2 linked regions of the Caenorhabditis elegans genome follow. The protein of the gene in region 1 interacts with the protein of each later gene in a pairwise test. Each region holds a gene or a part of one and is shown in the gene's direction. Other genes may lie near its edges.

Region 1 (4,701 bases):
TGATCAACACGGAACTTGCGGTCTTCGAACGATGCTTGGAAAATCACAATCTGAATAATTGTTAATCTGGTTTTGAACAACACAAAATTCCTACATCAAGTTGCTTATCCCAGCAAGTGTACTTCTTCAAAGCAATTCGAGCCGATCCACTGATAACGTCCATCAATCCAAGTGAATCATTCCAAATGAACCAACTTCTCTCGCTTGTCTGATCTTCGCGCCCAATTGGATGAACAAGCATTCCACGTCCTTTAATACTGATTTTGTTTGGAGCAGGAAGCTTTGCAGAAATGATACAATTTGGATGCCCAAAGAAACGAAACTGAAATTTCAATGTTTGAAAATTAAAATTTCGTATTATAACTAACTCCTCCATATTCGCCTGGATTAATGACCATGAAGTAGACATAATCTTTTGTATCTGCGCGGGTGTCCGGAATTCTAATATGACCGAGACGTGATGAGTACACGTGAAGCATTTTGGGATCCGATTGACTATCTCTCTGGATCATTCCCTCTGCTAAGAAGGGATACGTTGCCTTGAACTTGGTGCGTACATTGCTCTCAAAGCTAAAAAATCGTGTTCTATTAAAATAATAATTCATTAGGACAACTCACTAAGCGTCTGTAACATTTTTCAGCTCTGTGTTATCCATATTGATAAGAATATCTGTCGCCAAATTGCAGTACTCTGTTTGGTTCATTTGTTGAAATGCTTGGACGGTAGACGAGGAAGATGTACCACCTTGTTGACCAGTTTCTGATGATTCCCATAGAGTACCCATTGAATTCGGAATGACACGAGAATTCTAAAAAATGAATTTAATTTAAATCCCATTTTCTTAATTTTTTTAAACCATTTGCTGTTGATCAAACTGATTTGATGTTCCTTGATTCATACTAAGTTCATTCAACTCTCGCCGGAGAAGTTCTTCCCTCTCTTGGGAACGTAGACGAGCAGTTAATTCAGTGAACATGTTAGGAAAAACCGTTTGACCCGGAAGATATGGAAGATCAATGTTTTCAATACTCTTTCCGCTGGCAATGAATGGTATTGTTTTATTTGGATCGATGACGTCATTGTTTTGAGAAATGTTAATAGCAGCATCATTTGACTCAGAAAGCCATGTACTTTGTTCAATTTGTTCTGCTGGAATCAATACACTTGGACGCTGCAACTAAAAAATTTTGAGAGAACTGCAAAGCTCTAATTTACCGGGAACTGATGACGCTGGACCATTTCAAAAACCCCATCGAGATCAGCGTTCAACTCGGAAGACGGAACTTCACCCTGATTGTTGGCTCCATGATGAATATTTAAGTTGTTCACTTCTCTTATAATTTCAGCTGGAGCTTCATCCACTTTAGGCTGAACTGAACCGAGTTTGCGTGTCTGTCAATAAAATTCATTAAACGGGAATTAAAAGTTAAAACCAACCAGGACAGGAATTGATTGAGATGAAAGACGACGTTGTGATGAAGCTGCCAAAGTGGAACTGGAAGGAACAAGCGCAGTATCTAAGGCTGGGACAGATTCGGAATTCGACAATTCTTGGATTGGGAGAAGCCTTTGTGTGAACGAGTTTCTCACTCCAGCAACTTGACTACTAGTGGGCACCTCTGACGATGTAAATGATTGAATTTCCTGTCGAAGAGATTGAGGTGGTACTTCACTTGAGCGAACCATGTTCTGGAAACATATTTTATCAATCAGAATATGAAAACAAAGTAAAACCGTTTGCGCGATTTGCTGAGGAACAGAAGTACTGGTTGGTAGAACTGCTTCACCAGAGAGTACAGGTGGAGGAAGCGGCTGGGATAAATCTGAAAATCGACTTGAAACTTAGGTCATTAAAAGTTTCCACAAACCTCTCTGATTACCAGCGAGATATCGCTGAGGATTCATACAGAAATTCCTCGTAAACTCATTTACTTGTGCTATATATTCAGCATAAGAATCATTCATCGCGAATGATCCTTATTTTGACAAAAATCAAGGGAATTTTCACAAAAGTAGGAAAAGTATTTAGGAACGAGTTTTCGAAAGCTGAAATTTCGAAAGCGTGTCATGTGTTTGCGTGTTTCAGTAAATACCGTAACCTTCATATATTTCAACAACAAATAAGAAAAGGTGCGCACGCGCTAGTCATTTGTTTGGTCTTTTAGTCGTTTATTTTTTTGCATGATGATTGTGTTTTAGTCACTTTTTACTTAAGTTTAATAATTTTATATGCTTTCTTCTAAAGTTATTACCGAATTTCCCATTATAAACTTTGCGCGTCGAATCTGGCGCTTGCGTACATGTTTCTCGTCTCTAGCTTTTCCTTTCATCTTCTCACCAATTTTACAACTTATCGACTTTGTTTCGAGTCTTGTGTTGTTTAAACATTTAAAAAACTCTAAAAACATGTTTTTTTGTTTAATATATGTTATTTCAGAGTTTCTGCTTTTATGGATCACATCGACGCTCATAGTGCGGTTTCCACGAGTTCGAGCTCTTCAAAATATGATACGCCGGATGACAATATTTCTGAACAGCGACTATTGTGTGACGCAAAAGTAATTATTTGATTCTCCATTGAAGAACAACCATAATATTCGTTACTACAGGAAGAATATCCACTGAATGATTATCTTTTCGATGGGATCAATCAAGAATCCGCACAACGGAGCCTTCTTCTATGTCGTCAAACATTTGAAACTTCCTTTGGCTTTGCTCTCCAATCATATGTATTCAAAAGAACATCTTCAAACAGTTACGAAAGAATAACTTATGTGGATTACGTGTCGGCTGATAGCCCAGCTGATCGCTGCGGGATAACACGAGGTATTCAATCATTTAATTCAGCTTTTCCTGCCAACTACTGCAATTTTAGGCGACATGGTCATTGCTGTCAATGAAAAAAGCGTCGTCACTGCCTCCCATGCAGAAATCGTCGAATCAATTGCTCAGTGTCTTCAAGTCAGTCTCGTTCTGGTCTTCAAAGATGTAGCAAGAATCGTGGAATTGAGCATGCGGTCGATTCAGTTACGATTCATGCTCGATGCAAAAATTAGAGAATTGAGGATGCTCGAAAAGACGGAAGAAGATTTGCAAGCATTATATGACGATGAACGTAAGTCGAGTTTACGGTTATTATTTTGATTATTTGTAACAATTTTAGATGGCAATGAGGAGGAAGACGAATCACTTGAAAGCACGCTTTACGAACTTGATGAGGAGCTAAAAAATGTACAAAATCCACAAGAAAAGGAAGCAAACGGCACTGATTATCGCCATCTCATTCGCATCAACAGTAGCACGTCTGTTGGAACTCCCCAAGTCACGCGTCTCTAGTAAAATCAATGTCTTTCATATTTTCACGTTTATCTCTGAACACTCATGGGTAAACATGTATACTCTAATTATATATTTCGATCCCTGGTACATAGTTGTACATATATGTATTTTAACTTCCTGTCTCCGCCCAAAATTTGCCATTTTATTCCCATTCCAGTCATTTTGATTCCCACAAACCTGTGATCATGGTTATGATTCTAGCCTGCCTGTTATACTATTAGTTTCAGGAAATAACATGAAGTTTTATCTACTATTCCTGACACAATTATTTCAATTATCCATGAGGTTCTGTGCCTTTTCTACTTTTTCGTTTGTTTTTCCTTGACAAAACTACTTTTTTTCAAACAGATGCACTCATTGTCAAGGATTCTTCTTCATCGCAGTAACAGTGTGCTCAATTCGCCTACTTTTCTTGTTGCTGTTAGGTAGACCTTTTCATCATTAAAACCTGTTTTATTCTGAGTATCCGTTAAATTCAATATTATCCCTCTAAAAAATGTGTTCTACTTCAGACAAACATCAGCCGGTCCACCTCCAGCCACTCCAGCTAAAGAAGGATCCTTGACCTACAAGTATGAACAATTTATTGGAAAATGGCCTAAAGTGTTGGCACTTCACAGGACTGTTCTTGAAGGTGAGGGAGTTCTCCGATTAACTTACTTACTTTTGAAATTCAAAAATGACATTTTCTGATCTTTTTTATTTTTATTCAGAGATCTTGACATGCTCTCTTAAAGTCGCACGGATTTATTCAGATGGGTCTCGGCGCAAAGTTTATGGCAACTTAAACTTCGCCCCGTGACTCATCTGAATAAATCCGTACACCTTCATGAAGGAATGCCAAAATCGTGTAAGATTACAATATCATCTTGTGAATCATATATTCAGGCTCTCGATGGTGCTTTGCCGATGTGAAAATGTATTTCAAGACGAAACGAGCTGTGGCTACCGGTCAGAAGAAGCTCACAGATCTCAGCGTTGAGGAATTGGAGACACTTGTTCAGGTAGAAATAAACTACGGAAAAGGGTCTATTCGTTGTTCTTTTTCTTCATGAATAGACTCAAATTCTCCCTTTTTGTTTTTATTTTCTATTACAAGGATAGTCAAAATACTAGCAAATTATCTAGAGTGGAAGCGAATTGATCAAAATGCTCACACTCATTGTGATTCTACAAATTCCTGGTCCTGGCGACATTCTAATTCTTATGTTGTGAGTTGTCCTAACATTTTTGGAATATTTTTTGTCGGTGTTGTTAGTTATTTTTAATTCCGTTTTCTTCTTTTATATAAAAAATTTGGGAGCGTTCTTTGGGGGTTTTGCTTTAAATTATAGATACGAAAAAGTATATAGAATTGTACA
Region 2 (6,919 bases), on another chromosome or scaffold:
TTTGGAATTTTCAATTTCCAAAAAAAAATCGAAAAATTATGGCGAGTCATAAAAAAAATTAAAATTTCCGGAAAAATCGTTAAATTTTAAATTCTAAAAGGTATAAATTTTACAACAAAAAAATCGATGAAAATTAATTTTTCTAACCATTTTGACAGCACTTTCACATTAAAAAAAAATTGGCGGGAATTTCAAGTTTTAGGTTGTTCCAAATTTTTTGGCGGTGAATTAATATTCTATTTTTCGATTAACTTAATTTCACAACAAAAAAAAATTGGAGAAAGTTATATCTTTAACTTTTCTACAAAATTCAGCGCTAAATTTAAAATTTTGATTTTTAAAAAATAAAGTTTCCGGAAATTAAAATATTCCTAACTAGCCTAAAGCCTAAAGCCTAAAGCCTAAAGCCTAAAACCTAAAGTTTAAGACAGGGCTAAAGTTTCATGTAAAAAATGGGTTGAAAATTAACATCTTTAATCTAGATTTCTTGTTGTAAAAAGTGTTCATTATATTTTCTGGCACCGCAAATTCCAAATAATTTTTGACCTTCCACTTCTCTTGTCAAACAACTTCAACCACATGTGTTCTGACTCCTTATCACCAAGATCATTGATTAGTGCACATATACATCTCACATCATAGATACTTTTCTTTTTTGGATCAAAGAAGCTTCAGCCCCGCCACTTCACAGATCATATGGTTACAACAAAGAGATAAAGAGATAAGTCAGGAGTCCGCAGAGAAACTAAGAACCAAACACGCGATATTCGGGTTGTCCACCGTCGGCTGTTTTTGTTGCAGTGGTGAATTGGGGATGTGTGTAAGAAAAAAATTATTTGGAAAAAGACCAACATCGTGGCGCGGTGAAGGTGCTTTGGTGTCTTCTTTTTGAATAGTGCAATTATTTGAAAAATAAGACCAAAGTATTGTTTTCAAACAGGTTATGCAATAGTTTATAGTTAAAAGAAAACCTGAATTTGACAGATATTTCAAAACTGGCGGGGATAGCCGGTCTTAGTGGCCGCTAGCAACGAGTTCAAGCCCTGACACCCTCTAGGATCACCCAGTCTTAAATGGAGCAATCTGAATTCTCCGTGGCTCGAACCTAAATCCCAGAGAGAGCTCCACCAGGAATGTTGTACAGAAATTCAGCGATGCATAAGACTTGAAGAACGGGTTTTATTTGACTTGAATTTAAAATAAAATATAGGTTTTCAGTTAAGTTTTGTAGCCTTTTTGGGAAATTCTGAACATATTTTAAAACTTTAAAACTCCCCGCTACTCCAAAAAAATATCCTATCAATGTTGTTTTCTTACGAAAAATAACTGATTCCAGTGGGATTTTGTTTGTTTGCCCTTTCATTATATGTAATTGTTTACTCAACTTTTTCCTGATTATTTAGTATTATTTAACATAAATAGTCTGGCAATATGAAGAAGTAAGCTTTACAAATTTGAAAAACCAAAATTTACCATTTTGTAAAATTTTTCAAGTCACGGTTACAGCCAAATAATTAAGTGAAAAATTACAAAAAAATTATTATGTACATTAAAACTGCAAATTGGGTGCAATTCTAGACTAATAAAAAATATATAAATGCCCTAAAAATTTCATATCTTAATTTTTTCTGGTTGATTTATTTTGACTTTCATTTTTTGTAATTTAAAATAGACTTACAATTTTGTAATTCTGATAGAAAAACCAAGTTTTTTCTAAAATATTAACAGTTAGCACCCAGCATTTCAAATTTCAAAAAAACTGCATTATTGACAAACATCTCCCATATACCTAAACATTTTCAAAAAGCGTACTTCATCAACGATCAACCATCATATCAAGCTGCCAAAAAGACACACAAAAAAAGCGTAAACAAAATAATTGACTGTTCTCTCTGCACCTCTGCGTCTCTTTCTATCTATTCATCAATTGTCTCTCTCTCCTAATGATATCACACACTGCCTCGACTCCGCCCCCTATAGTTTCGGACCCTTATCGCTCTGCGTCTCGTCGGGCAGAGTATAAAAGCCGGGTCCCGGGAGGTGTGCCGACTTTAGTTCCCTCACAAGAACTAAGCTTATTATACAAAGACACACACAATGAGTTCTGCGGCTAAAAATTTTTATCAGGTATGTTGGTTTATTTTTTTATAATTTGAAATTTAATATATGAAATTTTTAAAATTTAAATTATTTCAGGTAGTCAAATCGGCTCCAAAAGGCCGCTTCAAGGGCATCAAACGTGACTATACCGTCGAAGATGTGCTCAAACTCCGAGGCTCCATCGACATTGACTACACCCTTGCCACACGTGGAGCCAACAAACTCTGGCAACTATTGCACACTGAGCCATTTGTGCCGGCTCTCGGAGCCCAGACTGGAAACCAAGCAGTTCAGATGGTCAGAGCCGGATTGAAGGCTATCTACTTGTCCGGATGGCAGGTGGCTGCCGACGCAAACTCCGCTGGAGACATGTACCCCGATCAGTCTTTATATCCAGCAAACTCTGGCCCGGAATTGGCGAAGAGAATCAACAGATCTTTAAGAAGAGCAGACCAGATTGAAGCCTGTGAAGCCGAGGACTACCTCGCCCAACGTGATTGGTACGCGCCAATCGTTGCCGATGCAGAAGCCGGATTCGGTGGAGCCCTGAATTGCTTCGAGTTGATGAAGGTAGGCATGCAACACTAACAGTTGCTCTTCACTGACCACTGGACACTTTTGGGGGTGAGAGAGATAAGAGTGGCAGTTGGCATTGCCGGTGTGTAGCTTTGTTGTGTAAAAGTGTATAGTTTCAAATGATTTCAACGCGGGCGTCTAAAGGAAACGGGACGGGGAGTGTGTAGGGAACAAAGAATGTCCAGTGGTCCTGGTCCTTTGACCTATTCAGTTTTCCAAAATCGGTACATACGAAGTTCCATGTGTTCCTTTCTTCTCTTTTTATCACCCCCATTTCATCGCAGCGCTCACTTCTCGGTCAACAAACATCTTTCTTCTCTATTTTTCTCCACCCAACAATGATTAGAATGATTAGATAACGCTATCAAAAACAACAAAAATGATCGTTGGTTGTTTTAGGCCTATATCGAAGCCGGTGCGGCAGGAGTTCACTACGAAGATCAGCTTGGATCGGAGAAAAAATGTGGTCATATGGGAGGAAAAGTCTTGATCCCAACCGCCCAACACATTCGTCACTTGAATGCGTCTCGTTTGGCTGCTGATGTCTGCGGAGTTCCTACAATCATTGTCGCAAGAACCGACGCAGAGTCCTCTAGACTTTTGACATCTGACATTGATCCAAGAGATCATCCATACATTGACTACGAGGCTGGAAGAACGATTGAAGGATTCTACAGACTCAAGGATTCCACTGCAATTCAGTATTGTATCGATCGTGCCATCCAATATGCTCCATACACCGATCTCATCTGGATGGAGACCTCTCACCCAACGATCGCCGACGCCCGTGAATTCGCTGAAGGTGTCCACAAGCAGTACCCAGACAAGATGTTCGCCTACAACTGCTCTCCATCCTTCAACTGGAAGAAGCATCTGTCCCCATCGCAGATGGAGAAGTTCCAGAAGGAGTTGGGAGCTATGGGATTCAAATATCAGTTTATCACGCTTGCCGGATACCATGCCAACAGTTATAGCATGTTTGACTTGGCCAGAAACTACAAGGAGAAGGGTATGCTCGCCTATTCCGGGCTCCAGGAAGGAGAGTTTGCTGCTGAGAAGCATGGATATACGGCAGTAAAGCATCAGAGAGAAGTGGGAACCGGATACTTCGACGCTGTCAGTCGTGCGGTTACCGGAGGACTCTCTTCGACTACTGCCTTGTCAGGATCCACTGAAGAAGCTCAATTCCAGACTGCTGTTGCTTCGCAGGATGAGGAAATCCTTTCGGTACGTTTTATTCAGACCTGCATATTAAGGCAAGAATTAGAAGAAAAAATAACTAAACAAAATTTCAGCTCACCGCCCAAAACGTTGCTGGAGACGAGAAGATCCTCACACCAGATGCTCTTCGCTTCCTCCACGACCTCAACACCGAATTCAACCCTCGCCGTTTGAGACTTCTCTCCAAGCGCAACCAAGTTCAGGCTGATATCAACAACTCCCTCTGGTTCCCAGATTTCAACAAGGAGACCGAGGTGCTCCGTAGTGATCAAGGATGGAAGGGAGCCGAGATTCCAAGGGATTTGCAAGATCGTAGAGTTGAGATCACTGGACCAACCGATCGTAAGATGGTTATTAATGCTATGAACTCTGGAGCCAATGTATTTATGGCTGACTTCGAAGATTCCAACTCCCCAACATGGAGAAACCAGCTTGAAGGACAGATCAACTTATATGATGCTGTAAGAAATAACATCTCCTACACCCACCCAACTACTAAGAAGGAGTACACACTGAATGAGAAACACGCCGTTCTGAAGGTCCGTCCACGTGGATGGCACCTTCCAGAGAAGCATGTCCTCATCCACAACCAGCCAACTTCAGGATCTCTCTTTGATTTCGGACTCTTCGTTTTCCACAATGCCAAGGCCCTCATCGCCCAGGGCTCCGGTCCATATTTCTATCTTCCAAAGCTTCAAAGCGCCGAGGAGGCTCAACTCTGGGCTGACGTTTTCAAGTACACCGAGGACAAGCTAGGCCTCGCCCGTGGAACCATCAAGTGTACCGTGCTCATTGAGCATTTGCTCGCCAGCTTCCAACTCCACGAGATCATCCATGCCCTCAAGGACAACATTGTCGGACTCAACTGCGGACGTTGGGATTACATCTTCTCCTACATCAAGACGTTCCAGAACCATCGCAAGTTCCTTCTCCCAGACCGATTCCAAATTGGAATGACCGCTCCATTCATGAGAAACTACTCCTTGGAAGTCATCAAGGCCTGCCATCTCCGTGGTATCCATGCCATGGGAGGTATGGCTGCCCAGATTCCAATCAAGCACGACCAGGTCGCCAATGACAAGGCATTTGCCCTAGTCAGAGCTGACAAGGAACGAGAGGCCACTGACGGACACGATGGAACATGGGTTGCTCATCCAGGATTGGTGCCATTGGCTAAGAGAGTTTTCGATCAAATGATGCCAAAGCCAAACCAGATCAGCAAGAATCTCACCCGCGCCAATTGCACCAAGGAAGACCTCACTGTGATCCCAGAGGGAACCCGCACTGAAGCTGGATTCCGCCATAATATCTCTGTAACTCTTGGTGAGCCTTAAAAAATATTTTTGAACATTTTTGAAATTGGAATTAATTTCAGGATACCTCGACTCTTGGCTCAGAGGAACCGGATGCGTGCCACTCTACAACTTGATGGAGGACGCTGCCACCGCCGAAATCTCGCGTGCTCAGCTCTGGCAATGGCTCCATCATGATGCTAAGCTTGAGGACGGTCGCACTATTGACGCCGGACTTGTCAAGCAAACGATTGCCGCCGAGACCGAGCGTCGTCTCATCCGAGCCGGATCAGTTGTCAACCGAATCCCAGAGGCTGCCGACTTGCTCGAGAAGTTTGTCACCGAGGAGAAGATGAGCGACTTCTTGACCACCGACGCTTACGACAGGCTTGTCTCTGAAGGATATTAGGAAATTTTTTTAAATTTGAATTACTTATTTGTATACTTCTCTCCATGATTTTCGTTGCACCTACTGGTTTTCTTGTACATTCTGCCGTTAATTATAAATCTCTTCAGTAAAATTTTGTCATGTCCGTGTTGTGTTCAAAAAGTCCACGAATTCCAGACTTTCCCACGATTTGAGACTTTACCTCATATCCGTGTCACTTCATTTTTTCACACAAAAAAAGCACGTAGTGAATCACTTGAAAAAAAAATCTTGAATTTTCTCTGGTTCTCTGGTCTATGCGTAAGTCTCAAAAGTTTGAGATAAAAAGGTGACATCTATGAAGCGTGAAAATTGAAGCTGCAGAGTCATAAAGTACGAAGCGATGTTTTGTTACATAAGCTACATATGTTTTCTATCTAAAACTTATGTTTCATTATTCAACAATCAAATTGTTTCAACTGTTTGTGTTCGTGTTCCGCTGCAAACACATATAGCAAACTGTAAATTGCAATATAGATGCTCTACAGGTGGCCTGCTGCCTCCACACACCTATCGACTCAAATTAGTACATCTGCGCAACGACTCGCCATTCAAATAGTCGATAATCTTACGTCAGTTGTCCATTCCCTCTCATTTCTTATTTAGCACAAATGAATATTCTCCGACTACCCACAAAAGCACTTCGCTGCACACTTCAACACTGGCCGCTTCTAGAAATGTAAGTTATTTAACTAAAAACAAAACCAAATGTGAACAATTTCAGATTAACATTTTCGTTGTTTTCAAAAAAGACGAAAAATCTTTCTAAATCTCTGCATCGAAGCGCCTTATCGATTTCTGTGAATGTTGAAGAGTTGATTGAACTCAAAATTCAAATCGCTCGGCGTGATACAATCAACTTCATCTTTTACACAAGCAGATATAGAGCCAATCCCTACTATGACCCCAATGCGGGAGTTGTGTTAATTGATAATCCAGATGAATATATAGGAATCGTGGATACAACTAAAAACAGTCGGATTTGGATGCACTTTCCGAATATGGGAATACGAGATTTTGTTGATCACTTTTTCGATGTCTTGAGTCTTTCAAAACTTGATGAATTTTCCATATCTAAGGACAACTACTGCACTCAAGAGTTTTGTGATGAGTTCAAGGAACTCGACGTTCAAACTTTTGTGAGCCCCTTACAAATGGACAACTCTTCGTTCTACCAGAAGATCATAAGAATGTTTTCGAGTAGAAGTAAAAGGCTTGACTTCGGTCTTCCCACATTCCCATTTAAAACTCATACAGCTCAAGAGTTCATGTTTCAAAATTTCAATTTCTTCCAAATCTTGTA

What was found. Proteins that work in one complex are often made in the same cells at the same time.
Region 2: the proteins of gras-1 (region 1) and icl-1 interact in a two-hybrid assay, tested with the Caenorhabditis elegans proteins (one large-scale study listed by BioGRID).

The regions. Positions count from the first base shown.
Region 1 is NC_003279.8:7,833,376-7,838,076, forward strand, and holds gras-1 (General receptor for phosphoinositides 1-associated scaffold protein 1 homolog), read left to right. Parts: upstream 1-2,432; 5' UTR 2,433-2,451; coding exon 2,452-2,559; intron 2,560-2,610; coding exon 2,611-2,827; intron 2,828-2,876; coding exon 2,877-3,116; intron 3,117-3,164; coding exon 3,165-3,337; 3' UTR 3,338-3,592; downstream 3,593-4,701. Other genes in the region: F30F8.1 (RING-type domain-containing protein), read right to left, coding at 1-50, 95-322, 369-570, 619-809, 858-1,172, 1,217-1,393, 1,439-1,690, 1,736-1,824 and 1 more; F30F8.9 (Letm1 RBD domain-containing protein), read left to right, coding at 3,689-3,765, 3,853-3,974, 4,229-4,344.
Region 2 is NC_003283.11:723,136-730,054, reverse strand, and holds icl-1 (Malate synthase), read left to right. Parts: upstream 1-2,050; 5' UTR 2,051-2,097; coding exon 2,098-2,127; intron 2,128-2,196; coding exon 2,197-2,670; intron 2,671-3,075; coding exon 3,076-3,903; intron 3,904-3,971; coding exon 3,972-5,220; coding exon of another isoform or gene 5,221-5,231; exon of another isoform or gene 5,232-5,272; coding exon 5,273-5,598; 3' UTR 5,599-5,717; downstream 5,718-6,919. Other genes in the region: fbxb-72 (F-box domain-containing protein), read left to right, coding at 6,228-6,295, 6,341-6,919.